7 linked regions of the Ovis aries genome follow. Each later gene encodes a partner of the first gene's protein in a complex. Links are inferred from orthologs where the notes say so. Each region holds a gene or a part of one and is shown on either strand. Other genes may lie near its edges.

Region 1 (3,727 bases):
AGCTGTGACATATGGTGTGGTTGGTGCACCAGACTCTACCTGGGGGCGTAGAGGAGGGCTTCCCTGAGCAAGTGCCAGTAAGATGGAGAGGGGCAGAGCCCAGGGAAGGATGGCCTGGCTGGGTGGAGCACCCTGAGGCAAGATGACCCTGACTGCTTGGGGAACAGAGGAAAGGCTGTGTGCTTAGAGGACCAGGAGAGGGGAAAGGTGGGAGGTGGGCTGAACAGAGCTCAGTCAGGCCGGGGCTTTGGAGGTCATGGTAAGGAGTTTGGAATTTAGAAATAATGGGAAGCTATTGAGAGTTTAAACAGAGAGAGTTATTGTATCCATTAGAATTAGGTTTGACTGTGAATATCCGAGACCTAGAAAACAGTGATTTAAGTGAGCTAGAAGTCAAAAAAAAAAAGGCAAAAAGTAAAAGTAAGAAAAAGAAAAATGCGGAAGGTATGGAGGGTCTACAAAGTTGTCAAGGACCTGTTTTTAGATCACCAGTCCACTGTCCCTCGGGTATAGATCTTATCTTCATGACCCATGGTGGCTGCTAGAGCTCCAGCCATCACAGGTTTCAGGAAGGAAGGAAGAAGTGAGAGAAAAGGGGTGCATCTTCCCTTACAAAGCCTTTTCCAAAGACCTCACTACACTTGGGTTGATCTCTCCATGGGTAGAACTGGTCACATGGTCATGTTTTTGCCACAAGCAAAAAGAGGAGATGCCATCTTTAAGTTGGATATCAGTGTCCCCAGTTGGGAAAATGGGGAGTTCTTTTTCTACAGCCTCCCTGCTGACTGGTGTGGAAGACAGACAGAAGAGAAGCAAGAGGGAGGCAAGGAACCCTTGGGAGGGAGGCCAGGAACAGCCAGGAAGAGACAGGGAGTGGCTTGGACTCAGGGGTGTCCCAGAGGAGATGGGGAGAAGTAGATATGGGGATGGAGGTGGGTGACTTGAGTCTCAGTGGCTGGGCCGGTCGTGGTGCCATGCACTGAGCTGGGGAGACGGAAGGGAGAGCAAGGGCCGATCGAGACGTGTCGCCAGCACAAGACCCCTACCACCACCACACCTCAGTGATGAGGCGGAGCCAGGACAGCTCCAGGCTGCCCTTCCCTAGACCGTGCACCACATCCCACTGGAATGCAGTTCCCAGGATTCCACGTCAGACATAGAGGAGCACCAAGTGGCTCCTGCAGGCGCAGGTTTCTAAACCACACCCTCTAGTGGCCTGGCTGAGGCATAACATGGCTCTAGGTGGGAGGGTGTCTCCCCCCAGCAGAAGTCTGGCCCTGCCCACCACCCTCTGGTCCCCGAGTCCCTTCTCTCTGGATCAGGCAGAAACCTTGACAGTGGGGTCCAAAGGAAGAAGTTTGGGAAACTGGCCAGGTTTTTCCCCGTCATTCCTCACACGGGTGAGCCTTCCCGAGGTCACACGAGCACACGGAGCAGCATCAGTGTGTGGGCCCTGACTCACAGGCCTGTTTTTAGCCCCAGGTGGAGGCACCACCCCTGCTCACCCACCCGTGCCTCCCTGAGTCACCGCCTGCTTAAGGCACTCAGCGCCTGGGTCCCAGGGCCAGCTTTCCGGTGGCTGCCCGCAGGAGAGGCTCGGGTGCTAGAGAGGGGCCGGGACCCAGGCCCTCCCGGTGGGAGGCTTGGGAATCTGAGGGCTGGGGTCTGTGGGACACTGACCCTAGGGAGCTGGGTCTGGGGTGGCATCATGGGCCTGGCCTGCTTGCCTCCAGGCTAGTTACAGCTTCCTTCCCAGGGCAGGCATGCAGTAGGGGACACAGTGCCTGCACCTTCACGTTGACCTGCTGCATTAGACAGGCCCTGACACGTGAATAGCTACCGAGCTGACAGCTCGATTCTGAAAGTTTCCACCGAAGGCTTTGCCCCCTACATACCTTGGTAGAGACCCATGGACAGAGAAGCCTGGCAGGCTGCAGTCCGTGGGGTTACACAGAGTCGCACAACTGAAGCAACTTAGCACACACACAAGCACCTTGGTTGAGAATCTTTTGTCAGCTCTGCACCTTCCAGGTGTTGACCTTGCCCCCTTCCTTCATGTCTTTCCCACCCCGAAGGCCACCTGCAGATTGCCACCTCCTGCTCACTTCCTGAGCCATGAGCCGTGGCCTGCGGGGGAGGGGGGTGTCTGTCTCTCTCGGTGTCTTGGAGGGTGGTGGAGTTCAAAGGACTCGAGATTGGGGTCACCAACCAGTGGTCGTTGTTGTGCCAACAGATAAAAGACTCTGTCCGTGTTCTCATCTCCTCACAGGCTGATGCCAAGATGGTGTGTGACGTGGTGAGTCGGATGGAAGACACGGAGCCCTTCTCTCCAGAGCTGCTCTCCGCCATGATGCGACTCTGGGGCGACTCGGGGATCCAGGAGTGCTTCAACAGGTCTCGGGAGTATCAGCTCAATGACTCTGCCAAATAGTGAGTGTCCTGGGCAGGCGGGAGGCCACCAGCAGGGCAGCGATGTAGCGTGGAAGGGGCTTGGGGCGGGCACTGTGGGACAAGAAGGCATCCTGGGCTGAGGTTGGAACCGCTGTGAGATGCTTTGCCTTGTATGTCAGGAAGGAAGGAGAAGGGGCATCTCCTCCTGCCCATCCCCTGCCCCCCAGGATGAAAAGGAGGCCAGGGAAGTCGGGGGCACAAGAGACAGCTAACAGCAGGGCTCCCAGAGGGCCGGGGCCATCACCCGCCTGCCCTGGAGTGGGCCGGGCCCCCCTCCAGAAGGAAGGTTTTCAGTGCAGCAACCTTTTTTTTCCCCTGGAGAATCCTTGACCCCGTAAGTACTAATCAAGGGCAACAGGCAGAAAATAACTTACGTGGTTTTCTTTTTGAGAAAATAATAAGCTTTCTATTCCTCTGTCTTTAAAAATAAGGAATATGTAACCATCAGACAAGTGAAATAAATAGTCAGGCATACACTTTAATAGTGCATTACAACTAATAAGGAAAAGTAGAGGACAGAGGGGAGAGATCGACCTCAGGGCAGGAAAGAAGGTGGGGGGTGAAGCACTGAAGGCCAGAGAGAGTGGGTGGGCAAGAGAGGGGAGGGCAGAGAGGTGGCCCTTCCAGTGACCATGGGGCCACATGACTGCCCACTGCAGCCGAGTCACTCCAGGCGTCTGGAGGTTTACATGTCCTTGGCCCCTGGATCAGGGGTTCCAGGGAATGGTCCTCAGTGGTCAGAGATGCGTCTTCTGTTTGAAGACACTGGGATTACATTCCAGCTTTCAGGAAATGCATTCACATTTACAGACTCGTGCCCAGGTTTTCAGTGGGCATGAGACACATGTGCTCCAACACTGATCTGCTCAGCCTCCTCTCAGCCGGGGCCCCTTTGCCCCCCAGGACACACCAGCAGTGGTCTGGAGAGGTTTTCAGTTGTCCTGATGAGGGTGGTGCTACCGGCATCTAGTGGGTAGAGGCCAGGGATGCTGCTGACTTCCTAGAGACGCATCTTACAGCCCTCCACAGCAAAGAACTATCACACCCGCAGTGTCAGTAGCGCCAAGAGTAAGAAACGGTGGTCTCCATGGTGCTGATGTAGAGGAGGCCAGCACCGAGAAGGCAGCTTCCACTAACAGACACTGGGACGTGGCCACTGGCCATGAGGACAACCGACAAACCAGGGGCTCGCCTTCCCCCCCTGCACACCTAGATTGTCCCGGGGGCAAGCGCTTGTGTCCTGTGAGTGCCAGGTGGTAGTGACCCAGGCCCCAGT
Region 2 (4,081 bases), on another chromosome or scaffold:
CCCCCGTCTGTGGGTGTCTGTGTGTCTGCCTACGGGCGTGTCTGTCTGTCTCGCTGTGTGTGTCTCGTCCTTGACCCTGTCTATCCGAACGCTTGTGCCTGGGGGAGGGGGCGCTCCCTCCTGCCTCTCTCCCCCCAGCCCCTCCCGCGGGCGCTAACGCAGCGCGCCGCCTTAGCTGCGCCCGGAGCGCAGTGACCTCGTCTGTCCCCGCATCAGCGACCTCACCACCGCGCTGTCCACCGGGGGGGACCCCGAGGCTGGGTGCCAGGCCGACGGTCGCTTTCCCCCAGCCTACGGCCCCCTGAGCTCAGGGTGGGCACGCTCCCTTCGCGGCTGGGTTCGTTGGTTCCCCATCTTCCCTTATGTAACTCCACATCTGTCTGCTCCTTGCAGGTCACCCTGGACCCTACCCTGGGTCCTGCCCAAGGGAGAGTGAGAGCCAACGTCCCACCCATATGGGGGGTGGAGCAAACCCCTGACCAGGGCACCGGCTATCGGAGACCCCTCCCATCCTTTCTCCTCGGGAGATTCCTTTCTCCGAGTCCTGCTTGCTCGAAGGGTGAAACGAGGAGGGGGTCCCATGGGGGCAAGTTCCCCTGAGCGCGGATGCAGAAGTTTCCCCTCACTCCCACTCCGGACCCCCTCAGGCGCCCCAGATCCCGATGAGAGCCAGCCAGGGGTCACCGGGACGGAGGGCACTGGGCAGGTCAAGCGGCCCAGAGACTGGCTCCTGTGTGCGCGGGCGGTTGACCGCAGGCGAGCCCCCAGCTCGGGCGACCGCCGTGCCAGGCTCTTCGCCAGCCGGCGTGCGCACTCGGGCTGGGGCTCCGGCGGCCCGGCGGGCACGCGGCGCTGTCCGTGGTGCTGCCGGCGCCGGGCGGGGCGGGGGCGGGGCGAGGGCGGCAGCCAATGGCGGGGGCGCTGCGCGGGGCGCGGGGGGCCGCCGGCTGGCCTCGGGGCTCACTCAGCTGCGCGCGGCACTCCGGGCGCACGGACGCTCAGGCAGCGGCTCCGGCTCCAGCTCCGCCCCGGGTCCGCTCGGGCTGCAGTGCTCCTGCCGCTGGCCCGGTTCGGCTCAGATTCCGGGCCGGGCCCCCTGGGCGCGGCCCGCCCCGGCCCCCGTCTCGGCGCCCGCGGACCATGCGCCGGGCACCCAACGGGGAACCCGGCCGGGCCGAGAGCCCGCAAAGACCAGGCTCCCGGACCGGGGCCACTCCTGGCCGCCCGGCTGGCGGTCCGCACCCTGCCCCGCGCCCCCGCGCCCCGTGAGCCGGCGGGGCCATGGAGCGCTCATCGCCCGACGGGCCGCTGAACGCGTCGGGGGCGCTGGCTGGCGAGGCGGCGGCGGCGGCGGCGGGCGGGGCGCGCGGCTTCTCCGCCGCCTGGACCGCGGTGCTGGCGGCGCTCATGGCGCTGCTCATCGTGGCCACGGTGCTGGGCAACGCGCTGGTCATGCTCGCCTTCGTGGCGGATTCGAGCCTCCGCACCCAAAACAACTTCTTTCTGCTCAACCTCGCCATCTCCGACTTCCTCGTGGGTAAAGCCCCCAGCCCCCTCCAGAGTCAGGGGCGCCCAGCCGGGTCGGGTCAGCAGGGATTGGAACGTGGACCTAGGGTGCTTTTCCTCGGGGACACACCCCGCTAGGAAGCCAGGCCTGGGTAGGGGGTGTCCAGGACTTTGGGGAGGTGGGCACAGGCGAAGTTCCTTGCCTCCCGGGCCCCGGGACTGGGGCTGGGGAAGGACGTCCCCGGGGAAGGGGTCCGAGCGAGCGGACGCTCAGCAAGGCGCAAGGCTCTGCGGCCACTGTGCAGCGCGGGCTCCTGCGCCGTAGCCAAACAAAGGCTGCAGCGGACTCAGGACACGGGGAGGGTGCTGGGGGGAGGGTGCTGGGGGGAGGCTGGGGGGAGGGGACGTGGAAGGGAGATTTTTAGAGCCGTGTTGGGGGAGGAGGCCGCGGGGAAGGCGGGGTTGGGGAGATGCTCTGAAGCGCGCGCTCTCACGTGTCCGTGCGCTGCTGCCGGCTGTGACCGGGGGGGGGGGGGGGGGGGGGGGGGGGGGCGCAAGGAGGGGGCCGGAGCGCCAGACACCTGTTGGGGCTGAGAGGAGCGTCTGCCAGCTGCTCAGAGCGGGGCTTGGCGTTGGGAGCCGCCCGCATGGTAGCAGTCAAGTGCCCTTTGAGTCCGGAGAAATGTTTTCTCGGCTTCCGAGCTGATGATGAGGAGCTGCCCAAAGGCCAGGATAGGAGCTGGGGTGCAGCGGGGCGGAGAGGAAGGAAATTCTTCCTTCCTTCAGGCACTGAGAGGACTAGCAAAAGGCCAGGAATGACGCTTTGGGTCTCCTTGTGCCCAGTGGGCCCTACCGCTGGAGCTTTTTCCTGCTCCCAAGTCCAGGAACACAGTGGGGCTGGGGGTGGGGCAAGGGTTGGAGGCCAGGTGCAGGGCTCAGAGCATGCCTAGGAAGGAGGTGGAGGGGGGATTGCTGGTCCCAGAAAGGGGCCCATTATGTGACCCCAGGTCCTGCTTATCTCCCAGCTGTGGGGGGGTCTGACCCCAGGCCCCTGCCCAGCCATGGCCCTCCTTTCCCACAGGGGCGTTCTGCATCCCACTCTATGTGCCCTACGTGCTGACTGGTCGCTGGCCCTTTGGCCGGGGCCTCTGCAAGCTGTGGTTGGTGGTGGACTACCTGCTCTGCACCTCCTCTGTCTTCAATATCGTTCTCATCAGCTATGACCGCTTCCTGTCGGTCACCCGAGCCGTGAGTCTGGGATGTGGGTGCCCATGTTCACTCTCAGGGGGCAGGGTGGCCAGAGGCGGCCAGGAGACGCACCAGGCAGGGGGTACGGCCACTTCTGAATGGGCGGTGCTGGGTGGGCTTGGGGTCTGCTCACCTCAGGCACTCTGTAGCCACCTGCCTGCTCAGTAGCCATCTGCTGCCAGTAGGACGGGTCCTGGTTTGGGCAGAAGGGGCTGTCTGGACCTGAAGGAGGGGGTCACTCCAGCCTCCACCCTGGAGCAGGTCCAAAGTCCCTGGAACTAAGGGACTATCTGGGGCCAAGGGCCCTTGGTAGGACCTCCCCACGGGTGTGTGTGCCTCAGAAAGACAGGCTCCATGAGCTGCCCTGGGTGTGGGTGGCCACACTTAGGGACCCTGGACTGCCCACACTTCCCATGTCAGAGTCACGCAGGCACAGGGCTGGCGGCAGCACTGCCCCAGAGGTCAGTCTGGTGCCATCTCCTCTGACGGCTCTGCCAGGCTCCCTCTGCCAAGGCTGTGTGTGTCCTAGTCTAGGGAGGCAGTGGGTCAGGGTGCAGAGAGCATGGGTTTGGAGTCAGCCCTGCCCGTGGAGCCCCTCCACCTGTGGTCTTTCCTGCCTGACCTGAACCATCAAGAATGTGGGGACCAGGGTGGAGCAGCTGTGAAGATTAAATGAGATGATATCAAAGATACCGAGCACAGAGCAGGGCACACAATGGGTCCTCAAAGGACTGGACAGTGACGTGACTCCTAGGGAGCACACAGCTGGCAGGGGGATGGCTTGCAGGCAGCCTGGCACAATATTAGGATTCTGAGAGGCGGTTCCGAGCCCATGGGAGAGTCACAGGCCTCAGCCTACTGGGGGTTCGTGGAGGATAAGGGAAAGCGTCTTTGCTGAGGAGGGCCCTGCACAGAGGCCTGGAGGCTGCCCGGAGCTCTGGGCAGCACTGTGCCCTGGCTCAGTCCCCTTGCCTCCTGACCCAGCGTGTCCCGCCACAGGTCTCTTACCGGGCCCAGCAGGGTGACACGCGGCGGGCGGTGCAGAAGATGGTGCTGGTGTGGGTGCTGGCCTTCCTGCTCTATGGACCCGCCATCCTCAGCTGGGAGCACCTGTCTGGCGGCAGCTCCATTCCTGAGGGCCACTGCTACGCCGAGTTCTTCTACAACTGGTACTTCCTCATCACGGCCTCCACCCTTGAGTTCTTCACCCCTTTCCTCAGTGTCACCTTCTTCAACCTCAGCATCTACCTGAACATCCAGAGGCGCACCCGTGTCCGGCTGGATGGAGTGCGCGAGGCGGCCACCACCGAGCTTCCACCCGAGGCCC
Region 3 (4,214 bases), on another chromosome or scaffold:
TCCTCAAGTAGGGGCTCCAGGGATTCCTAGCCCCTTAGAAGCTGCATGGATCCACTCGGACAATAGATGGAGGAGGCTGGACAAGGAGCCTTTGTGTCTCCTGGGTGAAGGTCCCTGGGGCACTGCCGAGGCGGCCCAGCCACACAGAGCTGTGTGTCCACCCTATTCCCACTCCTGGCAAGACTGCAGCCAGGCCTAGTCAGCTGATGTGGGACCTAGCAGGACCCAAGGTCCCAGGGCCCTGGGCAAGCTCCTCGGCCACAGAAACAGACCTTCTGTGCACTGGTCCAGACACTGACTGTCCAGAGCCCCACACAGAACAACACTGACTGGTGGAAGGGTGACTGTGATCGCCTCTATTTCAGAGAAAAGGAGGCCCCAAAAGGGCTGGAATTGGATCAAGGTCTCCCAGAGTCAGGGCTGAAGCTGAGTCAGAACCTGCACTCTCCAAGCCTAGACCAGAATGAGAAGGGGGTGGTGGTCATTTTCATTCATTCATTCAAGCATTCCAACAAGTATTAAGCAACTCCTGAGGCCTCTGGGACCAGGAGAAAGAGGCAGACTGACTGGTCCTTGGTCTCCTGGAGCTCACAGTTCAGGAAAGGGATAGACTAGGGTCCCTGGCTACAGGAGCCATCCGAATGGGGTTGAGGGCAGAGAAGAGAGTAATGTGTGTGGCGGGAGTAGGCTGAAAAGGCAGCTCATGGGAAGTAGCTCAAGATGACAGACCAAAAAAAGCCTGTTCTTAAGGAATTTCTATTGACTCTTTCTGGCTGAGATTAAGCACAGAGAGAGCACAAGAGGCTCCCTTCACTCTCCTTGCCAGAACTGGAGGGTCAGGACCCTGAGCGCCCAGATTTCCTCCCCACAGGCAATGGGAGGCCAGCGCTCTGAGCAAGGTCCCTGAACAGGTTCTCTGGAAGCTCTGCGGTGGGCAGTGACAGCGGTCACAGAGACATTGAACTTTGCAAAACTTTAGCAAAGTTTCTGAAAGCCTTTCATCACCCCAGTGAGGAAGGCCAGGGAGCCTCGGTCCCCAGGCGGTAGGTCAGTCGCCGCCCATCCCTGCCCGGGCAGCGCCCTATGGCCCTGCAGTGTTCCCGAGCGGGTAGCGGAGTGTCTCTCCCCGGCAGGAGGTGGCGGCGGCAGTGCCTGGGTCTGTCCAGAGTCCGGCCCGCCCCCGGCCTGACCCGGAGGGGTGGGGAGCTGGGCGGGGCGGCCGAGGCTCTCGGGCACGTGTGTCCCCGCGGTGGCGCGAGCACTTGGGAGCCAGGTCCGGGCACCGCGTGAGGACTAGCGCCCTGCGAGGTGAGGGCGGGCCGCCGGCAGGACCAGCGGGCGGAGAGAGGGCCGCGGGCGGGCTGGCCCGGGTGCGCGCGGGGTGGCGACTCGGCCGGCGCCGGGCAGGCAGAGCGGCGCGCGCGGCTGGCCGAGAAGGCACGGCTCCGAACCCCTGTGAGAGCTCCGGCGGGTCCGTGGTCAAGCTCGGGCTCCAGCGGAGTTCGATCGCGGGGAATGTGGACGGATACCCCGGGTGAGTGCGCATATTCGGGCAAGTGTGTGTGTCCCTGGGTGAGAGTGTGCGCCCCTGCGGAGTCAGGTAGCTGAACCTGTGGAACTTGTTTGTGTTTGTGCTCCGGTACCGGCGCCCCCGCAGCGTGGGACCTAAGCCAGAGACAGGCCAACCCTGGAGGTCCCGAGCCCCTCTCTCCAGGGGCACCCTGGGTGGCAGCCTCGCCTGGGCATCGGCAAGACTGGGGCGGGGCGGGGGGTGGGTGGCGCGCGGAGCAGTGGCCTGGAAGGACAGTTAAGCCTCTGTCTGGGGACTTTTAATCTGGCGGGCTGCTGTAGGAAGGGTCAGCCTGGAGAAAGGCAGTGCCCTCTCTCACCCCCCTAAGGAGGGCTCCCAGTGTCAGGCTTAGGGTCCCCCAGGAGCCAGACCCAAGGGCCAGGCCCTGCTGCGGACCAGAAATGCCAGTTTGGGGTCTCTGGGGCTGATGGCAGCTGTTCCTTCCAGTACGCACCCTCAGTTTCCCTGGGCTTACAGCCTGAAGTGCCCACTTTGTTTTGGATCTGGCTGGAATAATGGGAGCTTTTGAGGGCCAGGGTGGGGCCCAGATAAAGTCTCAGCTGTCTATTGGTGGAAATGATTGGGAAAGAGAGTCTTTGAGCAGACAGGGCCCCCTAAAAGCTCTCTGGAGACCCAGAGACCTTCCCTCCATCATGCCTTGTACACCATGTGACCCTGAGCAAGGCATGTCCCTTCTCTGAGCCTCATCTGTAAAAGGGGAATAATAGTGATGCGGAACTTAAGGACTATAGAGGGGCTGTCATGTGGGTCATGCTCAACACCAGTGTCCTCTTGGGCAGCCTCACTCTTTGAGGTTAGAAAGATCAGATCCTGGGGGATAACTTCCTGAAATTCAAATCCCAGTCATTTTGCTCTTTGGGCTAAACTTTCAGAGAACTTCCACTGGATCACATCTGAGCCCCTTGGCTTGGGACTCAAGGTATCTGAGAGCTGGTCCTTGCCACCCTCTCCAGCCACCTCTCCTGTCTGACTTTCCATCCTCGTAAATGCATGTAATCCGCTGCAAATGCTAGTCACTTTCTTGCCTCTGGACCATTCCATAGTCCATGCTCACTGCCTGAAATGCCCTTCTACTCATCTTCCTCAGTTGGAGAACTAACCAGCGCAGATGCCCCCTCCTCTGGTAAGCCGTCCTTAGTTAGCCAGGTTGGATTGGAGCCGCGTCTGGGCCCTTTCGGTCTTAGAGCCCTAATTCTACCCTGAACTGTTAAGGTCTCTGTCTCCTGCTTCTCATTCCCAAGGTCTCAGAACCCCTGGAGGGCAGGAACTGGATCTCACTCATTTTTGTGCTGCCAGGATCCTGCACAGCACTGAGATGAACTGGGGGAGAAGCAGCAGCCGCTAAGCCCTGTCCCCTGTCCCCAGCGTCCCCAGGGAAAGCCTGTCTACAGCAGAGCGCCATATCAGTATAAAGGACGGGAAACCAGTCAGGCCATCAGAATGGGTGGCACAGATTGCCCTAACAGTGTGTCCCGGGGCACTACAGGACTCAGGGTGTACAAGATGAAAACTTGGATTTCATCCTGAAGGCAACTAGGGAGCCATGGAACGTTTGTGAGCAGGGTATGGTCAGAACAGCATTAATAGAGAGTATATGGTTTTCTCTTTCTGACTTATTTTATTCTGTATGACAGCCTCTAGGTCTGTCTGTCTATGCAAGTGACACTATTTTGTTCCTTTTTATGGCTGAGTAATATTCCATTGTATATATGGAATATTCCATTCATCTATTGATGGACATTTAGGTTGCTTCCATGTCCTAGCCTCAATTTGTATATAGTGCTGCAATGAGCATTGGGGTGCATGTGTCTTTTTGAACTATGATTTTCTTTGAGTATATGCCCAGTAGTGGGAATGCTGGGTCATATGGTAGTTCTATTTTTAGATTTTTAAAGAACCTCCATACTGTTCTCCATAGTGGCTATATTAATTTACATTCCCATCAACAGTGCAACAGAATTCCCTTTTCCCCACACCCTCTTCAGTATTTATTGTTTATAGATTTTTTTAAAATGATGGTCATTCTGATAGGTGTGAGGTGATACCTAATTGTAGTTTTGATTCACAGTTTTCTAATGTCTACTTAGTTCTTCCACCCATATTTTGATTGGGTTGTTTGGATTTAAAATATTGAGCTACATGAGCTGCTTGTATATTTTGGAGATTGATCGCTTGTCAGTTCCTTCATTTGCAAATATTTTCTCCCATTCTGTATGTTGTCTTGCTTATGGTTTCCTTTGCTGTGCAAAAGCTTTTAAGTTTAATTAGGTCCCATTTGTTTATTTTTGTTTTCACTTTCATTACTTTAGGGGGTCGGTCAAAAAAGATCTTGCTGTAATTTATTTCAGAGTGTTCTGCATTACATTTAATTCTTTAATCCATTTTTTGAGTTATTTTGTGTGTGTGTATGGAGTTTGGGAGTGTTCTAATTTCATTCTTTTACATGTAGCTGTCCAGATTTCATAGTACCACTTATTGAAGAAACTGTCTTTTCTCCATTGTATATTCTTGCCTCCTTTGTCACAGATTAGGTGACCATAGGTGTGTGGGTTTATCTCTAGGCTTTCTCTCCTGTGTAAAGTGCAATGCTCAGGTGAGATGTGTGATATTCATAGACCTAAAT
Region 4 (4,508 bases), on another chromosome or scaffold:
TCGAACCTGCATCTCCTGTGGCTCCTGCATTGCAAGCAAATTCTTTACCACTGAGCCACCAGGGAAGCCAATAAAATAGGGAGCTTATAAAAGACAGGGGCAGCGACTATTGCTATTCTGTATTCCCTTTGACAACTAGCAAAGGCCTAGGCATCAAGATTTGAACTGAACTTAATTGGATACATCAATTAAGGTTTCAAGCTGTTTTCATTTGATTGCCAAAGGTAGATGAAAGAAAATGCAGCCTTATAGCATATAATACACTGATGCTATGTTTATATACATATACTTTCGCAAAAGCAAGTCTTGTCCTCAACTATACTTTAGAATCATATTGTTTTATATCATTTTATCTTTATCAATTGGGACTACAGCCTAAAAATAATGAATATTCTTCTTGGAATGGATTTCTCATTAAAATGAAAAAATAAAAAGCTAAGTTTTTTAACAGAAAAAAATTATATACTGATTTTTTTTCATGGAGATCCCAAATTTCATAAAGGACCAGAAATACTTTGTAATCTGATGCCTATTAGTCAAAGAAAACATAGGCATTGACCCTAGTGTAAAAGAAGAAAGAAAACAGTTACCTCTTCCTCTTATACATTTGCCAGTGTCCCAAAGAAATAAACAATCTGTGAATAGTCCAGCACGATTATATGTTTACAAAGCATAGAGGATTTATTCTAATATTTTCCCACCTGGAAAAACTGGTCTTAAGCGTCTTCGGCAATCAGAAAGCGACACCGAGTTCTTCCCAATATGTCATGTCACTTTGATAGCAATCATACTTGCAGGAATGGGACTGGGCAATGGTGGTAACTGTAAACGTTCTGATGTAGAAATTGCAGATGGAGAGCTTGGCTCTGGGGATGGACGTGGAAAGGAGCAGAAAGGAGCCTGGAGAAAAGCCTGTCATATTTGCTCAGAAGAACCACCAAATCAGAGAGCAGAGAAGATTTCATTGGAGGAGCGCCTTCAACAGCAACTAATCCCGTCATATTGAAAGAAAATTGTAAATGTTTTCTCCAGAAATTGTCTGCCCATCGCAGCTAATCGAACACACACTGACGAATACATACACACTCTCTTTTTATACCAAAGGTGCCCAGACGCAGAGACCCGCTCCAGCGAGAGCGCGTGACACACACGGACAGGCGTACACACACGAACGCACACACGCCAGCCTGCGGCTTGGCCAGAGCCTTGAAACTGCAGATTCCACTCGGAGACGGCCAGAAGCGCCGAACTAATTAGTAATTAGTTGCCCCTACACTAATAACTACTTCCCCAATCACTTTGGTGAAGAAATGAATCCCGCCCAGCTCGTCAGTCCAGCCAGGTCTCCGTTCTATCTTGCTCTCCAGACACCTCTTCTTCGTAAAAGCCAGGTTTGAAAGTCCTTTTTGCTTCTTCGCCTTTGGTGTTTTGGTGTGGCGGGCGGGGGCAGTGTCACTTTAACTCCAGTCTACACCGCCAAGGGCCTCCAGACTCGTAAAGTGCCTGGGACGCGTGTGGGGTGCGCGACTCTGCTAGCGCGCGCCCGAGCCCCGCGGCTCTTGCCGGAGCTTTTAGGTCCGCTCTCTCCCCGCCTTCCCCCGCCCCACCCCTCCGAGTGTCGCGGCACCAACTAATCTTTTCCTTTTCGTTTGCAAGATCAAGGGAGAGCGCAAGCCGGCGCCCGGCCTCGGACTCTGAGCCGCGCGCGGCTAGCTCCGCGGCGGGTCAGCCCCGAACCCGTGAAGGGCTCCACGCTCCTGCCAGCCAGCCCACGCCAGGGACACTGCAGCCTGGAGAGGCAACTGGAGCCAATCCGGCGGCAGGTAAGGACAGCCAGCTGCTCAGCCCTCCGCTGGCCAGCGCCAGGGACCCTGGCACTTCCCGATTCTCCGGAACGGGCGCCGAGGGGTCTGGGGTGAGGGAATTGGAGAATTCTTCCACAAGTCCAGATCCTCAAACGGAAACTTTGATTTCTGGGGCTTGGAGAACTGAGGGCAGCGATGGCGGGTACGGAAAGCAGGGGCAGAAGAGGCAGAGCGCGGGAAGGGATGCCATTCCGCGGGTCACGGAGTCCGGAGGAATGTGGCAAAGGCAGCCTGGGGGCCCGAGCCCGCCCGGGCGTCGCTGCCTCTTGCAGCCCGGCCCCCTCCCCCTGCACTGTCACCAGCTCCCCCCTCCTTGCGGTGTCCGCAAACCGGGGAGCTTCGCCCGCTCCTGCCCCTCACGTTTCTTCCAGCCTGGGGTCTGGCCACGTCTCCCAGGCGTTTGGGGTGGAGGCCCGGCTCCTCGGCCCCACAGGATCCGCGGGTTCCGCTCTGTGAGCGCCCGCGCCAGGTGGCCGGAGGGAGGCTTCGCGCTGTAGTCCGAGGAGCGTGGCCAAGGGCGGGGGGGATACGAATGGGGAGAGGGTCCCAGGACAGAGCAGGCGGAAACCTGCTGCAACCTCGTCGCGTTTCGCCCTAACACGAGGTCGGCGGTCCGCCTCGGCTAGAGGACAGGGTCTCAGCCCCAAGCCCGCGGGGTCGCGGACCGTGCCAGGGCTGCGCCGACAGCCACCTCACCATGAGATCTGAGCCACCCCTGCGGGCTTCGGGGTTGTAGATTGGGAATGACCCGACCCACAATATCCCTTTGCCGTTCGCACCTGCGGACTCGGGCGATCGCAGATAACTTGTAGCTCTCGGAACCTGCGAGGTACGGACGGTCCAATCCCGCGCTGGGAGATCGCGCAGCAATTCCACCTGTGCGCTCTGCCCGGCGCCCCCTGGGCGCCGCCGGCGGGGCTGGACGCTGCTTGCCTGGGAGAGCTCTGAAGAGGTCAAGACTTAAGATTCCTTGGAATCACTGACTCAGAAAGCAGCGCACACCCACTGCCTCAGCCTCCCGCCAGCGTCCCCATCCCTCTGTAGCCTCCTGCTCGTCGCGGTCCTCCAGGCTGCTCTAAGCCACAAAATCGTAAAAAGGAGGGTCCACTGGGCTCGCCAGACCCACGCCTTGAGACTAGGGTTGCCTGTAAGGAAATATCTCTGGGGAGTCCCTCGGGATGGAGGGGAGGGAGGAAAGAGGAGAAACGGAGGTAAACGCCTAAGGCAAGCAGAGCTGTCGACCGACATCTCACCCGAGCCGCCCTCCCGTGTCCTTAGTCGGTTCACGGCCACGGCCCGCCTGTGACGGAGGCCACCAAGGGCTCCAAGTCGGCCCGCCCAATCGCGGGGAGCCCAGCAAGAGCACGGAGCCTTCAAGTCCTCAAGCTCCGGAATCCCCCGGACTGACTTTCTATTTCCCTTTCATCTTGCGTTTTTCTGGTTTGTGTTGCTTTTCTTGCTCTTTTTTCTTAGCGCTGGGTGGCAGTGGGTTCGTGTAGTTTGCCCATCCCCTAGTACACGCAGCAAGCGACACAACACGCATCTCCCTGCTGGACCGCACACCCGCCCGCGCTCCCGCACGCAGCCTCCGCCCCCCAATTCCACAACCCCAGCGCCTGCGGCAAGGACCACCTCCTTGACCAGGATCACAGTCAGGGCGGCGGTGGCCTTGTCTCCGCGGAGGGTTGAGCCGGCCCAGATTCCGGAGAGAAACAGTGGGGCAATGGGAAAGGCCTGGGAAAAACTTGAATTGGGGTTGAGGGTGGAGTAGGGGGAGATTCTGAGGGCAGAGGCCCCCAGCACTGTAGCTCGGGTGCAGCTGCTCTGAGGGGACCCCGAGGCTCTGGCCCCCTCAGCGCCTGCGTGGAGGAGAGCCCACCCTTAGGGGAGCAGCCTTTCTCTGGGGAAGTTCAGATAGCCAGGTCCTGGAGTGGACCAGCAGCTCTCTTTGCTCCAGGCCTTTCTAGTTTACCCGCCTTGAGAGGGCTCTGAAATGTGGCACCTTGCACACTACAGCTATTCACCCAACCTTGGGCCACAAGGTCCTCCTCCTGTATTTTGTTGGCAATCAAATATAATATATGCATTATATTGAAAATACATAGAAGGATATATAGAGAGAGTACACTTTCATTGATAACCAAATAATAAGGATGATGACACAGTTAAGAAACTGCAATTAGGTATGTGTATGTGGGGTCTTTGGGGTGGTAACCACAAGGGGATAATCATAGAATTAAATCAGTAGATCACCCTAAGAACTATATTAGGCTACAATTCAGAAAGTGGACTTTTTGAGACTGTTTTGGCAAATGGATGGAAGAATTTTGTGCCAACAGTGTAGCAGCTTTGCAGGATTTGACAGCTAAGGATTCAAGAAGTAATGTTATTATCAGATGAATTTTTATTATTACTATTATTAGTAAATGTGTCTAGCTGTGGCAGTACTCTAAGCAACTTCTATTGACTCTACATGCTTTATTAGGCTAAACAATTATGCCAATTAAAGCTGAAAAGTAAAACTTGACCCTAAAAAGGCATGGAAATACCAACTAACTCAGCTTACTGTTTTAAAACTCTGTGAATGAGATGGGGCAGGAGTAGGGTAAAGTCCTTGGATCCAAAAATTCAGGGTGGGCTTCC
Region 5 (3,372 bases), on another chromosome or scaffold:
GAGAAGGAAGTAATGGCTTGTCTTTGTATCTTATATTGTATTTATTTTCTGAGCATTTTTATTTCTCCCATGAAGATATGTTGGGCACCAGTTACATGCAAGGCACATTTATAGTCCTCAAGGATATGGCAGTGAACACAAAGCCTCTACCCCAGTGAGAGAAGATGACAGTAACCAATTAAATAATTATTGCCAGGGGGTGCTCTATGCTCTGATAAAAAGAAAGCAGGCTATGAGAGGGAGGACCAGGGTACAGGGTCGGAGGATGAGACACAGGAAAGAGAAAATACAAAGATCAGAGAGTGCCTTTGTGCTCACAGGCCAGCAAGTGGGCCCGTGTGGAGCGGGAAGTGAGAGAGAGTGGGAGGTGATGTCACACAGGTGGCAGGCGGCCAGGTGCTGGCCCCGGTAGCCTTGTGGGCTCAGCACCCATGTCGGCCTTTTCTCGGAGTGATGGGGAACAACAGAACTGCTAGCAAACTGGCTTGTGCTTTGTGAGGCTGTCTTTGCTGCTAGGTGGAGAACAGACCCTGGGGTTCAGGGGAGGAGAGAGAGACCCAATAGCAGGTGCTGGCAGTAGCCTAGGAGAGAGGTGGTGATGACTCGAACCTGGGTTGTCACAGAGAAACAGGTGAAACGAGGGTGGATCTGTGCCCATTCTTAACATCTCCTGGGTGGTTCTGAGAGAGTGGAGAGTAGTAGGGAGGACAGGCCCAGAGCTGAAAAGCCCACTGATGGTCAACTCAGCAGAGCCCCAGTTCCTGGTTCAGAACCCAGTGCTCCTTCCACTGCCCCCCGCCAGTCCTCCCAGGCCTGCCAGTCCCCTCACCCTGGCTCTGAGCCCCCCACTCACCCACGTGCTTGTGCTCCTTCCCACAGGTGAATATAGACCACGAGACCAGGGAGCTGACCAGGACGAACCTGCAGGCCGCCACGGCTGCATGCTTCGACGCGGCGCAGCGGAAGGTGCGAGCCCTGATGGAGAAGGACTCCTACCCGCGCTTCCTGAAGTCCCCCGCTTACCGGGACCTGGCCACCCAAGCCATGGCCGCCTCTGCCTCCCCGTCCAGCGGCAGCCCAGCTGAGGCCTCGCACACCTGAGCCTCAGGGCCTGGAAGGAGCCAGCCGGGCAGAGAGATTGAGTCACCCACCCCCAAGGTGCTGTCCCCTTGGGGGAGGCAGGTTCTGCAAAGCAAGAGAGGACAGCGAAGGAAAAAGCTGACCCGGTGACACCCTCACCTCCAGATCCTTGGGACTGAATTCCGTGCGTGAGAGGGTCACCCCACTTCTAGGACCTGTGGGCCAGGGCTGAAGATGAGGGCTGTGTGGGGCTTTTAAGGGGGGGAAGAATGATGGTGCAAGAGTCATCATTGGCTCTGGCCATTCTCAACAGGACAAGGGATATTTCCAGGGGGCTTTGCGAAATGCATGGATAAAGGGGAACTTGAAAATGAGGGAGAGAAAGACAACCAGCTTAGCCAGTTTTGCCTGTCGAATGGTTGACCTGTTTTCCTAATTTCCAGACTGTCCTGGGCATGAAGGGAGCCATGGATGGTGGAGTCTTCTCATCCTGTCCTCCTCACCTGCCTCTGGGCTATGGCGGGGTTGGGGGGTTGCCTAGCTTGCACCTCTCAACCTGGCAGTGTCCAGCCTGGCAGTCTTGTCAAGGCCAGAGTACCGATGTGATGCTTGCCCCGAATGAGATATTTACCTCAAAAACTGGCTTTCAAGCCCCTCTCCAAATCAGTAGAGAGCCCCGAAAACAGGCCATCTTGCCCATGCGAAATGAACCTTGGTGCTCTTGGTGGGTTCTTGCGGGGGCCTCTGACTCCATGGATGCCACCGGGTCCACCTGTGAGCAGGACCTGCTGAGAGCCTCTTGCTGGGATGTGTCCCCTCTTAGCTCTGAGCTGCCTGGAGCAAGATGTGGGGCCTCTTGGTGAGCGACTAGTCCAGCCCTTATGCTGGGCAGGGTGGAACAAGGGGGAAAGGGCTCCTGGGAGACAAACCTCATGGCAGTTCCAGAAAGTCCTGTTTAAATCAAGCTAATATTTTATTTTTGTGAGGATGAGAACAGGGAAAAAGAGATTCCCCAGGATGGAAGGGGAACCTTGTGTTTCTTTCCTATAGCTTGTTGGGGTGTACTCATTGGGTGTTGATGAGAAATGAGGCAGGGACCTCGATGAACTTGGATAGCCTGTAGAAGCCGGGAATGAAACTGGGGTGGAGAGAGGCTGCTGGGAAGAGCAGGACTAGGGGAAATCAGAACCTGCTTGTCACCCCAGGGCATCACCAAACACCCATTCCCTGGTGGGACTTCTGCCCCAGCTGGGCTGGGGAGGTGAATTAACCAGGCAGCCCCTCTTGCCCCCAGGGAATCCACACTGTTCTCTCTGCGCTAGGAGCTCCTCCAGGAGAAAAGTATTTAAGCCTAACATATTGTTGGTTTTGAGACAATGGTCATGGCACATTATTTTTTATTGCTGTTGTTGTGTTGTTGCTATTGTTATTTATTGTTATTTGTGCGTCTGCCTCTCCTGGAAAATCCACAGGAGGTGGTAGCCTGGCTGTCTCCCTCTTTCCAGCAGACGCTACCTCTTGAAGTGCTGGGAACCTCTTGGCGCCCGCCAGGAACTCCTCGCCGTTTAAATATTTATTTATTGTTGACCACGGGAGCTGGTTTCCTAGATGTGAATGATGTACTTATTCAATCCCCGTTTTCCTATTGCAGCATGTTATTTTATTGTGAAATAAAAATAAAACCCAAAAGTGAGATCAATCCTGTCTGCAAGGGCTGTGTGGTCGGGGGAAGAGGGAAGGGAAGTGCTCAGGGTTGGGGGTGCCTTGTGGGAGAGCTGGTCTCCAGAAATGTCACAGGACACACGGGGAAGCTTGCTGGTATATGGGCAGAGGTGCACGTCCAAGGCCCAAGTCTAATGGTGGCCTCCAGGATGGTAACTTCCTTCAGCTGGTGACGACCCAGCTCATGTCAAGCTGTTGTGTCCTATTGATGGTGAGCCTAGCCTGGGACCTGGGACCCTTTGCAGCAAGGCTGCAATGCTTGTACCTGGATACACATCTCCTTCAGCAACAAAATACAAAGGAACTGTATTTTACAATACAAAAGAGCCCCATGCATGCATAGCTGGGGCAAATTCTGTACTCAAAAGATACAAAGAGACCAAAAAACACAACTGCCAGTTTTGAGCAGCCTAGAGCAAAAATAGGGTACCGTGCAGACCCCCTGCACACAACACCAGCTAAGGGGTGGACAGAACATCTAGGCTACCCCTCCTGCCTAAGCCTTGAACAACACTCTACCCTCCCTTCACAAAGGAACCAGCTCCCCACTCCTCTCCTCAGGGAGTGAGC
Region 6 (4,260 bases), about 30 Mb from region 1:
AGGAGTTGCGGCTCTCAGACCTAGTCACTCCACAGCATGTGGAGTCTTCCCCGGCCGGGGATCAAACCCGTGCCCCCTGCATTGGCAGGCAGATTCTTATCCACTGCACCTCCAAGGATGTCCCCTAGAGGGTTCTTAAATGTAATCACAAGGGTGCTTATACCAGGGAGGCGGAGGGAGACTTGTGACGCGCAGTTGGAGGGAAGGCGATGTCTCTGTCCTTAGAGGCAGGTATTGGAACCATGTGGCCACAAGTCAAGGAGTGCTGCCAGTCAGTGGAAACGGAAGAGGCAGGAACACACTCTCCTCTGGAACCTACAGAGGGAATATAGCCCTGTTGACTTCTGGCCTCTAGAACTGTAAGAGGATACATTTCTATTGTTTTAAGTCACTCAGTTTATGGCCATTTATTCCAGCAGCAATGAGAAACTAATAACATAGTTTCTTCCCCACCCCAGACTCCAGCATGTTTCAGCAATAACCCAGAAAGGGACTGGAAAAGATGGTGATGGCTCTTGCCTGGAAAATCCCATGGATGGAGGAGCCTGGTGGGCTGCAGTCCCTGGGGTCGCTGAGAGTTGGACACAACTCAGTGACTTCACTTTCACTTTTCACTTTCATGCATTGGAGAAGGAAATGGCAACCCACTCCAATGTTCTTGCCTGGAGAATCCCAGGGACGGGGGAGCCTGGTGGGCTGCCATCTATGGAGTCACACAGAGTCGGACACGACTGAAGCGACTTAGCAGCAGCAGCAGCAGACGGGAAGACTGAATAGTCCTCAAGTACTGGGCCATCTTCACAGACTTGCTTTTCCTCTCTGGGTCTCAATGGAACCCAGTTGGGAGGCTGGGGCTCACAATCAATTCCCAGTTCCCAGGTTGAAGCCAACTGAACCCCTGAGCTTTTTCAGGGCTACCTGGGGCCATAGAAGGAAAGAGTGAGTGTGTGTGTGTGAAGTCGCTCAGTCGTGTCCGACTCTTTGCAACCCCACGGACAGCAGCCCACCACGCTCCTCTGTCCATGGGATTCTCCAAGCAATAGTACTGGAGTGGATTGCCATTTCCTTCTCCAGAAGGAAAGAGACAGCCTCTCAAATGGGGAACTCAAGGCAGGGAGAGGGGCCAGGTCTCGACAAGGTGGGAGTCTCTAACGTCTGGCTTCCTTCCTCCTGGGACCTGGAACTTCCTCCTGGCCCCTTCCATGGAGCGGCTGGAGGAGGTGTTCAGGGTTCACTGGGTGTGTGCCTTGCGGAAGAAACCCCAAGCCCCAGACCAATGAGAACCCCAGAGGGGTAAGACGGGTCATTTCCTCTCTGGTTATCTGCACCCTCCCTTGGGGCTTGCAAGCCACAGCCCTTGGGAGCCTTTGATCAGAGGAGAATCTGGGAGAGACCTGAAGATGGTGAGTCTAGAGGGGAACGGGGGGCAGACACCCCCTATGTGTGTGCTCTCCCTTCTTGGCACCATCTGCTCCCTTTTTCCTTCCTCCTCCTCCCAGTCCTTGACCTCTCCCCTTCTCTCCTCACCTTCCTCTCCCCCTCAGGGGCTGGGAAGCAGCTAAGAAGTAAGACTGTCAAGGGGTTATAGGGCCCGTGATTAGCTTTGACTTTTCCTCTCTGTTAAATAATCCCAAAATAGTTTGAAAATTTTGTTTCTACACATTTTATTATTCACCCATGATTTTCTAAAATTGAAATGTTTTAATTCCTTTCTCTGCTCAGTTGATGCTGAGATCCATATTTAGTTTTATAAGCTAATCCCTGTGTTTTTTTGGCTCATGAGATTTTTTTTTTGTCATGGAAATATAGGAGTGGAATATTAATACATTTCACTTTAGCTCTGTAATGTCAGAATTTTTTTTTTAATTAAAAGATGGACTAGAGCTTTTTCTTTCTGAATACTAATAATTAAAAAAAAAAAAAAGTCCCAAATCCTTAAAGGGTACTCAGTGAAAGGACCATCCCTGCCCAGAGACTCAGATTCCTCGTAGCTCTGGTTTCTTGTAACCAGAAACGTAGGAGGGTGGAATCAGGGCAACAGTTTGTGGCTAACACTTCTGGAAACAGTCCATGACAGTGTAGAGAGTAAGGAATATTTTGACATGGAGATCATACCGAAACTAGGTTCAAATCCTGCCTATCTTGTGTAGGAGCTGAAGAGACTCGTCTGTCTGAGCCTCCTTCTCCTTGTCACTAAGATGGGGATAGTCTGTATCACAGGGTCATGGAGAGAGTTCAGTGAGATAATACATGGGAAGCGCTTTCAGCAGTGGCTGGCATACAGCTGGCTCTCAATGCCTGTGATGTGTCTATCCTTTCTACCCTACAAAGAGAAGTCTTTTTTACACGATATCCTACCTCTCGCTTTTTTTCTTACGTGAATAACTTATAATATTATTGACAACCTCCACCTGCATGCCAGGCACTGTGCTAGGCACTTGACGTTTACAAACGTCAGCTTAATCTGTGAGAAACATACTGGTATATCCTGGTGTGTTTCAGGGAAATTCCCTTTATCTTTTCATCAGCTGTGGGATATGCCAGTGAGAGTTTCCATTGCTTATCAGTGGAAATTTAGCTGTTTGTAATTAGAAAATTCCCTGGTGGTCCAGTGATTAAGATTCAGCACTTTCACTGTCAGGGGTCTGGGTCCGATCGCTGGTCAGGGAGATAAGATCCTACAGGCTGGGCAGCCAAAAAAAAAAAAAAAAAAAACGCAAACCCTGAAACACCAGAATTATATCTTTGGATTCATGTCTGGGTTTTCAGAACTGCAAATGCTGAATCTAAGACACAGACAATTTTTATTTTAACAGATATTGCCAAAACCTGTACCAATTTATATTCCTCATCTTCAGAGCAGGAGAGTATTTACTTGTCTAGACACCCATCTGCATGTTCAGATGGAACTATTTTTGCTTTTTGCCAGCCTGAAAGGTAGTTCCTCGCATCCTGAAAGGATCCGGAGGCTTGTCTTTTTCACATCGTTTTTAAAATGCAAATGCCTGTGTTTCTTCGTGCTCAGGGATGTTGAGTCTCAAAGACTGTGCAGATTCAAGAGGATGAGTCGAGATGCTCACCCCCATCCTTGTATCCCAGTTTCTGAGGATGCCTTAGTGGTTTTATGTGGTTCTGTGGGTGGACTGTTTAAAGACATTGTGTCCACGTAGAAATGGGGAGAGGGATGTTCCAGAAAAAAAAGCAGCCCGTGCCTTCTGTGTATTTCCTAGGCCTGACAGCATCTCTGAGTCTATTATTTCCGCCATAAAGAAGGGGACAGTTGGCAGGACGTTCCCTGCCCTGAAGATGGCAAGACGGAAGCCCTGCAAGGGAGGGAAGGGGCGTGTGGCCCCTCTTAACGCTCCTACTTTTCTTCCTCCTCTGGGGATCGCTCCCGTCTTTGCTGGCCTGAGTCCCAGCCCCAGCCTCCTCTCTGGTCCTCTTGCCTCTAATCTCACCTCCCCACAGCAGCCAGAGGAAGCTTTCTGAACAAGAACGCTCATCTAGTCCCTCTGTGACTCAAAGACCATCTGCGGCTCCCCATGACCCCAGGATAAAACACATCTCCTTTAACATGACATCTGTGGCTCCTCCAACCTCATCCTGGCTACCTGCCAGCCTCGCTGGTGTTCTTTCACCTTCTGGTGTGTGACATCCTCCCTGTTACCGTGTGACCCTTTGCCTTGAAGGCATGGGGTCCCCTCACTCCCACCACGCCTGAGGCCTGGTAACCTCTCAGAGAAGGTTCTAGGGTTGGACTCTCTGAAGGTCTCTCCTACCTCTGTCACTTGCTAACAGTGAGGACCTGGAAAGGTCTCTTAAGCTGTCTGTAGCCTCAGTTTTCTCATCTGCAAAGTGGGTATTGCAGTGGCAAAAAAAGAAGAGCTGATACAGGAAAAGGACTTAGAACTTGGTGATTCTGATTGCTTTTCTCCTAAGCATCTTCTCCTTAGCCCTCGCCTCCTCTGATCCATTCATGAGTCCTCACACTCACCACCCTAGTGCAAACCACCATCATCCCTCACCACAGCTGGGCAATTCCAATCACCTCTCCTTCTCAGCTTCTGATCTGGCCCTTTCTCCACACAGTAGGCAAGGGCTCTTAAAAACGAGCCTTTGATCTTAGGAAAAAAAGAGTACCCGCCTTTGGGCTTGTTGTACCGTAAACACTGTGGTTAGAGAATTAACAAACTAACACCTAGGAAGCACTTAGGAATCGCTTAGGAGCCCCAGACCGCTGGAGTCTGAGACGAAGCCACC
Region 7 (4,251 bases), on another chromosome or scaffold:
ATCTCCTTGCAGTCCAAGGGACTCTCAAGAGTCTTCTCCAACACCACAGTTCAAAAGCATCAATTCTTCAGCGCTCATCTTTCTTTATGGACAGAGAAGCATGGTGGGCTGCAGTCCATGGGGTCATTAAGAGTCAGGCACAACTGAATGACTTCACTTTCACTTTTCATTTTCATGCATTGAAGAAGGAAACGGCAACCCACTCCAATGTTCTTGCCTGGAGAATTCCAGGGGCGGGAGAGCCTGGTGGGCTGCCGTCTGTGGGGTCGCACAGAGTCGGACATGACTGAAGTGACTTAGCAGCAGCAGCACATCCATACATGACCATTGGAAAAACCATAGCCTTGACTAGACGAGCTTTGTTGGCCAAGTAATGTCTCTGCTTTTTAATATACTGTCTAGGTTGATCATAACTTTTCTTCCAAGGAGTAAGCACCATTTAATTTCATGGCTGTAGTCACCATCTGCAGTGATTTTGGAGCCCAAAAAGATAAAGTTGGCCACTGTTTCCACTGTTTCCACTGTTTCCCCATCTATTTGCCATGAAGTGATGGGGCCAGATGCCACTATGTGCCATTTAAACATTCCAAACAGCTTGTCACTAGGAATTCCCTGGTGGCTCAGTAGTTAAGACTTGGAGCTTCCACTACAGGGGTCACAGGTTCAATTCCTGGTTGGGGAGCTAAGAGCTCACATGCCACAATGCAGTCAAATAAATAAGGAAAACAGTTTGTCACCTCTTTTGAGAGAAGTCCCATAAATCTTGAAGGACCTTCCCAGATCTTAAGTCTACTTTCCTAGATTGCCCCAGGCTAAATACACCACTGTTATTTTCTACTATTCAGTATTTTACTTCTGCTGCTACTTCTATCATTATGGTCTGGATTGTTATTACAGCATTTGTTGTTGTTGTTGTATAGGTGCATATTCACACCAGATTGTGACTCTCTAGAAATAAGAATATAGTTTTTGCATGATACAAAAAACTCTGATTTTTGCATGATACATTCCTTGACACATACTAAGTGTATAAGAGATGTTGGTTAAGATTTATTACATGGGGTTGTGAGGGTCATTCCCCCTAGTTACTCCTCACCCACATTCATATACCACTGGAGCATTTTCTAAAACAAAACAAAAAAGCAAAACCCTATCAAGTGGGAAGTTCATGTACAAAAGTGCTTTCTTCAACCATACTCTGTACTGCTGAAAACTTCTGAGAACCATGCTCTTCCGCTTCTATTTTTTAACGTTTCTTATCTGAGACATTCAGAAGTGACTCACTTTGAAACTCTTCCTGTGGAGTCAGATAGTAGTGGAAAGTGTTGGGTTTGGTTTATCATCAGAAACGAAGAGAGAGAGGAAAGAGGAGGCGCTCATCAAAGTTCCTAACTGTACTTCAGGACCTGACTGTGGTCAAGGGCGGGGACCAGACAGGACAAGTGGGGACCTCCAGACCTGTGCAGAAGCCTTCAGCTATTGTCTCGGGTTTTTGGTAAGGAAACCTAGATGCACCTGATGACTTATGCCCAGCTTGTTCTCTTCATTGTAGATAATGGTTTGAAGGTCATTATTTTCTATTTCCCCTTCTTTCCCCAACTGTTATTTCTTTTGCTTTATTCCCATGTCCACCTTTTTCATTTTCTAGCTATTCCATATTCTATTTATCTTCGCTGTTTACATTTCATTCTGAAACTAATATTGAATTTTTACATCATTTTCCCCTCTCTTAAATTGGCTGTTTCTCCTTCTGATCTTTGATTCCAGCTTTTCCCAATAGTTCCATTTTCCAAATCAGTGATTATCTATTTTTCTTAATATATATATTTTTTCTATTTCATTTCGCTCTTTTTCTCTTTTATTTTTTTCCTCATTCTTTATTGCTACTGATTCTGTCATCCTGTTATTAGTATTTGATTCTGGTATCTACTTTTCTTTCCCTATTATAGCTGAATTTTAGTTTCAGGATATTACTTATCTTTTTAATTCTGATTGGTCAATTCAGTATTGAAAATTTAAAAATATATATAGAGAGAGTTACTTTTCAACCAAAACCAATTCAGTATTGAAAACTTAAAAAAAAAAAAGATACAGAGGTAATTTTCAACCAAACACTTGGAGAAATATAAAAAGTTACCTTGAACTGAAAGATTTTTAAGATTCTGATTCAGATACACTTTCATTTCAAAATGTGATATTTAAAGTATAGCTCATGCCAGATGATTCAGTTTCTTTACATTGGAATTTTTCTCTTTTCAATCTTTATTATTTCCTTAGTATTCTTTATTACTGTGCTGCTCTTGATGCCTTTCTCTGTTAGCAATACCAAAGGCTTTTCTGTTATGTGATTATTTGTAGTCAAAAGAGTTTTGGCCTGATAATAATTGGACCTAGGATTTGAGATCACTCTTAGTTGTGACTATGTAAAAGCCCCCTAATTTGTTGAGTTTCAGTGTCCAAAACTACAAAATAAACATAGAAACAGGAAGAAATAATTGCTAACTTTCTTTTCAGCCCTTGAATTCTGTGACTCTCTCCATCTCTCTGTATTTTATGAATCGACGCGTGAATATGTGTGTAGGACAGGTGATCAAGGTAGCTGCCGTGCACAACAGCAAAGGAAGAGAGCCTGACAGGACTCGAGTATTAGAATAAGCAAGGCTACAGAATGGACAATGAGAAGCACTTCTTCTTTTTTGTTATTTTGTTTTCTTGTTATTTTAACTTCTGCTAATCCCGATGCTAGCATTTAGTCAACTCAGCAGAACAAGTCATATGGTATTCTGGGTTTCTACCAAAGGAAACATAAAATGCTGTTATAGCCAATAAGAATTGGGAACTAGAAAACAAAAGAAGGAAGTTAGAAGAGATAGCATCCTTACTGAATTAACCGAATAAGAATTTAAAGTTTTAATTTAATAGAAAAAGAAAAGAAACCCCAAGTATGAGCATCCATCCATTCAAGTAACCTTTAATCCTTACGTCTTACAAAGCATTGTGCTAAATTCTGTGGAGCAAGCATTTAGAAATAAGATATTTGTTTACCATTACGAAACTTAAGACTAGAGTAATAGACAAGACAGCCATGAAAATAATTGCAATGCAGAACAAAATGCACCATTGCACGGAGAATACAAAAAATGGTTTAAACCCCACTATACACACACAAAATTTAGGAGGCTGAAGAAGTAAATTATGATTGGGATTATAAGAGAGGTTTCAAGGAAAATATATTTGAACTTGAACTTGAAAAATGACTAGGATTTCAGCATAACTAGGATTTCAACAGATAGTGATTAAGAATGGAGGAAAGAGGAGGTTAAGGCAGAGAACATCATTCCAGACCAAAATAAACAGCAGTCGCCAAGGAGTAGAAAATGGCATTGACTTGGAATAGTGAATTGTTCAGGAAAGCTACAAAGTAAGGTATGTTTATGGGAATGTTAAAAATTACAGTTATTTCCCTGGCAGTCCAGTGGTTAAGAACCTGCCTTCCAATGCAGGGTAGGTGGGTTTAATCCCTGGTCTCGAAACTAAGATCCCACATGCCACAGGGCAGCTAAGCCCATGAGCCACAACCAGCGAGCCCACATGACTCAGCGAAGACCCAGCACAGCCAAAAAAAAAGAAAGAAAGAAAGAAAGAAAAGAAAATTAGGTAAGTGTTATATCATAGAGGCCAAGAGAAATAGAGTGACAAGAAGCCAGTGTAAAATAATAGGGATATTGTGGAGGATAAAGATAAAGGAAAAGATGCTTGTATTTGTTCTCTAGAGGCAGTTTTAGCAGAGTGATGGGATAGAAGACTAATTACAAAGGGTTAAGAAGTAGCTGGTGAGAACAACAGACCCCCCAAACAAGCCAGTATTCTTGAAAAAGAAAAGCTGCTAATTTAAAAGACTTAAGAAATATCCTGATGCAAAGTGGGATCCTTAACTGGATACAACTGTTGACAAATCAGCTATAAGGGATATCTTGGGGGATGAGGGGGGAGGATAAAGTCTGAATATTCATCAAGATAAGTCTTACTGTAAATATGGAGACTGCTAAATGATAAAAGTGATCAAAGAAAGCAGTTTATATAAAACAATATGCATTTACACCCAAGTTCATAGCAACAACATCCACAATAGCTAAAATGTGGAAGCAACTCCAATGTCCATCGACAGATGAGTGGATAAATAAAATGTGGTACACACATACAGTGGAATATTATTGTCTTAAAAAAGAAGAGAATTCTGACACACACTAC

The links.
Region 2: the proteins of GNAO1 (region 1) and HRH3 are in contact, whole or in part, in a cryo-EM structure (PDB 8YN7), measured with the Homo sapiens proteins. The link is inferred for Ovis aries from reciprocal best matches to the Homo sapiens genes GNAO1 and HRH3. Residues at the interface, in NP_066268.1 of Homo sapiens: Ile28, Ala31, Lys32, Asp33, Val34, Lys193, Asn194, Leu195, Asn312, Pro315, Asn316, Lys317, Glu318, Ile319, Tyr320, Phe336, Thr340, Asp341, Ile343, Ile344, Ala345, Asn347, Leu348, Arg349, Gly350, Cys351, Gly352, Leu353, Tyr354; in NP_009163.2 of Homo sapiens: Asn69, Asp131, Arg132, Ser135, Val136, Ala139, Val140, Tyr142, Arg143, Ala144, Gly147, Ile221, Ile225, Arg228, Arg232, Thr345, Phe348, Arg349, Arg352, Val356, Leu360, Cys415, His416, His417.
Region 3: the proteins of GNAO1 (region 1) and P2RY2 are in contact, whole or in part, in a cryo-EM structure (PDB 9K20), measured with the Homo sapiens proteins. The link is inferred for Ovis aries from reciprocal best matches to the Homo sapiens genes GNAO1 and P2RY2. Residues at the interface, in NP_066268.1 of Homo sapiens: Ala31, Lys32, Asp33, Val34, Leu195, Gln305, Glu309, Glu318, Ile319, Tyr320, Cys321, His322, Met323, Val334, Phe336, Thr340, Asp341, Ile343, Ile344, Asn347, Leu348, Gly350, Cys351, Gly352, Leu353, Tyr354; in NP_002555.4 of Homo sapiens: Asn66, Ser68, His130, Arg131, Gly134, Val135, Pro138, Leu139, Leu142, Arg143, Met221, Arg224, Leu225, Ala229, Tyr230, Gly231, Thr232, Ser233, Pro237, Ala239, Lys240, Lys242, Ser243, Arg245, Thr246, Leu308.
Region 4: the proteins of GNAO1 (region 1) and CHRM2 are in contact, whole or in part, in a cryo-EM structure (PDB 7T8X), measured with the Homo sapiens proteins. The link is inferred for Ovis aries from reciprocal best matches to the Homo sapiens genes GNAO1 and CHRM2. Residues at the interface, in NP_066268.1 of Homo sapiens: Lys24, Ile28, Ala31, Lys32, Leu195, Tyr320, Asp337, Ala338, Thr340, Asp341, Ile343, Ala345, Asn347, Leu348, Gly350, Cys351, Gly352, Leu353, Tyr354; in NP_000730.1 of Homo sapiens: Asn58, Arg121, Cys124, Val125, Pro128, Leu129, Thr130, Pro132, Val133, Lys134, Thr136, Ile209, Ser213, Lys214, Ser215, Arg216, Ile217, Arg381, Lys384, Val385, Thr388, Ile389, Cys443.
Region 5: the proteins of GNAO1 (region 1) and RGS16 are in contact, whole or in part, in a crystal structure (PDB 3C7K), measured with the Mus musculus proteins. The link is inferred for Ovis aries from reciprocal best matches to the Homo sapiens genes GNAO1 and RGS16. Residues at the interface, in NP_034438.1 of Mus musculus: Glu64, Asp65, Gln68, Ser75, Arg86, Thr117, Val180, Lys181, Thr182, Thr183, Gly184, Ile185, Val186, Gln205, Arg206, Ser207, Glu208, Lys210, Lys211, His214, His236, Glu237, Asp238, Glu239; in NP_035397.2 of Mus musculus: Glu85, Phe86, Ser87, Glu89, Asn90, Glu124, Ala125, Pro126, Glu128, Val129, Asn130, Asp132, His133, Glu134, Leu161, Lys164, Asp165, Ser166, Arg169, Lys172.
Region 6: the proteins of GNAO1 (region 1) and C5AR1 are in contact, whole or in part, in a cryo-EM structure (PDB 8JZP), measured with the Homo sapiens proteins. The link is inferred for Ovis aries from reciprocal best matches to the Homo sapiens genes GNAO1 and C5AR1. Residues at the interface, in NP_066268.1 of Homo sapiens: Ala31, Lys32, Lys193, Asn194, Leu195, Glu318, Tyr320, Phe336, Thr340, Asp341, Ile343, Ile344, Ala345, Asn347, Leu348, Arg349, Gly350, Cys351, Gly352, Leu353, Tyr354; in NP_001727.2 of Homo sapiens: Asn71, Phe75, Arg134, Leu137, Val138, Pro141, Ile142, Gln145, Ile225, Thr229, Arg233, Ala234, Thr235, Arg236, Ser237, Lys239, Thr240, Val243, Val244, Ala303, Gln305, Phe307.
Region 7: the proteins of GNAO1 (region 1) and C3AR1 are in contact, whole or in part, in a cryo-EM structure (PDB 8I95), measured with the Homo sapiens proteins. The link is inferred for Ovis aries from reciprocal best matches to the Homo sapiens genes GNAO1 and C3AR1. Residues at the interface, in NP_066268.1 of Homo sapiens: Ile28, Ala31, Lys32, Asp33, Val34, Asn194, Leu195, Ser264, Asn316, Glu318, Tyr320, Asp341, Ile342, Ile343, Ile344, Ala345, Asn347, Leu348, Arg349, Gly350, Cys351, Gly352, Leu353, Tyr354; in NP_001313404.1 of Homo sapiens: Asn57, Asp119, Arg120, Val123, Val124, Pro127, Ile128, Gln131, Asn132, Arg134, Asn135, Tyr356, Ile359, Arg362, Gly366, Arg367, Phe368, Ser371, Lys374, Thr375, Val378, Leu438.

Annotation. Positions count from the first base shown.
Region 1 is NC_056067.1:23,782,042-23,785,768, reverse strand, and holds part of GNAO1 (guanine nucleotide-binding protein G(o) subunit alpha), read left to right. Parts: intron 1-2,269; coding exon 2,270-2,430; intron 2,431-3,727. UniProt on the Homo sapiens protein: Guanine nucleotide-binding proteins (G proteins) function as transducers downstream of G protein-coupled receptors (GPCRs) in numerous signaling cascades.
Region 2 is NC_056066.1:54,698,588-54,702,668, forward strand, and holds the start of HRH3 (histamine H3 receptor), read left to right. Parts: upstream 1-1,281; coding exon 1,282-1,537; intron 1,538-2,587; coding exon 2,588-2,754; intron 2,755-3,753; coding exon 3,754-4,081. UniProt on the Homo sapiens protein: The H3 subclass of histamine receptors could mediate the histamine signals in CNS and peripheral nervous system. Signals through the inhibition of adenylate cyclase and displays high constitutive activity (spontaneous activity in the absence of agonist).
Region 3 is NC_056068.1:51,434,125-51,438,338, forward strand, and holds the start of P2RY2 (P2Y purinoceptor 2), read left to right. Parts: upstream 1-1,260; 5' UTR 1,261-1,308; exon of another isoform or gene 1,309-1,534; intron 1,535-4,214. UniProt on the Homo sapiens protein: Receptor for ATP and UTP coupled to G-proteins that activate a phosphatidylinositol-calcium second messenger system. The affinity range is UTP = ATP > ATP-gamma-S >> 2-methylthio-ATP = ADP.
Region 4 is NC_056057.1:102,026,044-102,030,551, forward strand, and holds the start of CHRM2 (muscarinic acetylcholine receptor M2), read left to right. Parts: upstream 1-1,659; 5' UTR 1,660-1,823; intron 1,824-4,508. UniProt on the Homo sapiens protein: The muscarinic acetylcholine receptor mediates various cellular responses, including inhibition of adenylate cyclase, breakdown of phosphoinositides and modulation of potassium channels through the action of G proteins.
Region 5 is NC_056065.1:63,093,227-63,096,598, reverse strand, and holds the end of RGS16 (regulator of G-protein signaling 16), read left to right. Parts: intron 1-879; coding exon 880-1,101; 3' UTR 1,102-2,779; downstream 2,780-3,372. UniProt on the Homo sapiens protein: Regulates G protein-coupled receptor signaling cascades. Inhibits signal transduction by increasing the GTPase activity of G protein alpha subunits, thereby driving them into their inactive GDP-bound form.
Region 6 is NC_056067.1:54,073,356-54,077,615, forward strand, and holds the start of C5AR1 (C5a anaphylatoxin chemotactic receptor 1), read left to right. Parts: upstream 1-1,345; 5' UTR 1,346-1,400; coding exon 1,401-1,403; intron 1,404-4,260.
Region 7 is NC_056056.1:207,178,150-207,182,400, reverse strand, and holds the start of C3AR1 (C3a anaphylatoxin chemotactic receptor), read left to right. Parts: upstream 1-1,287; 5' UTR 1,288-1,495; intron 1,496-4,251.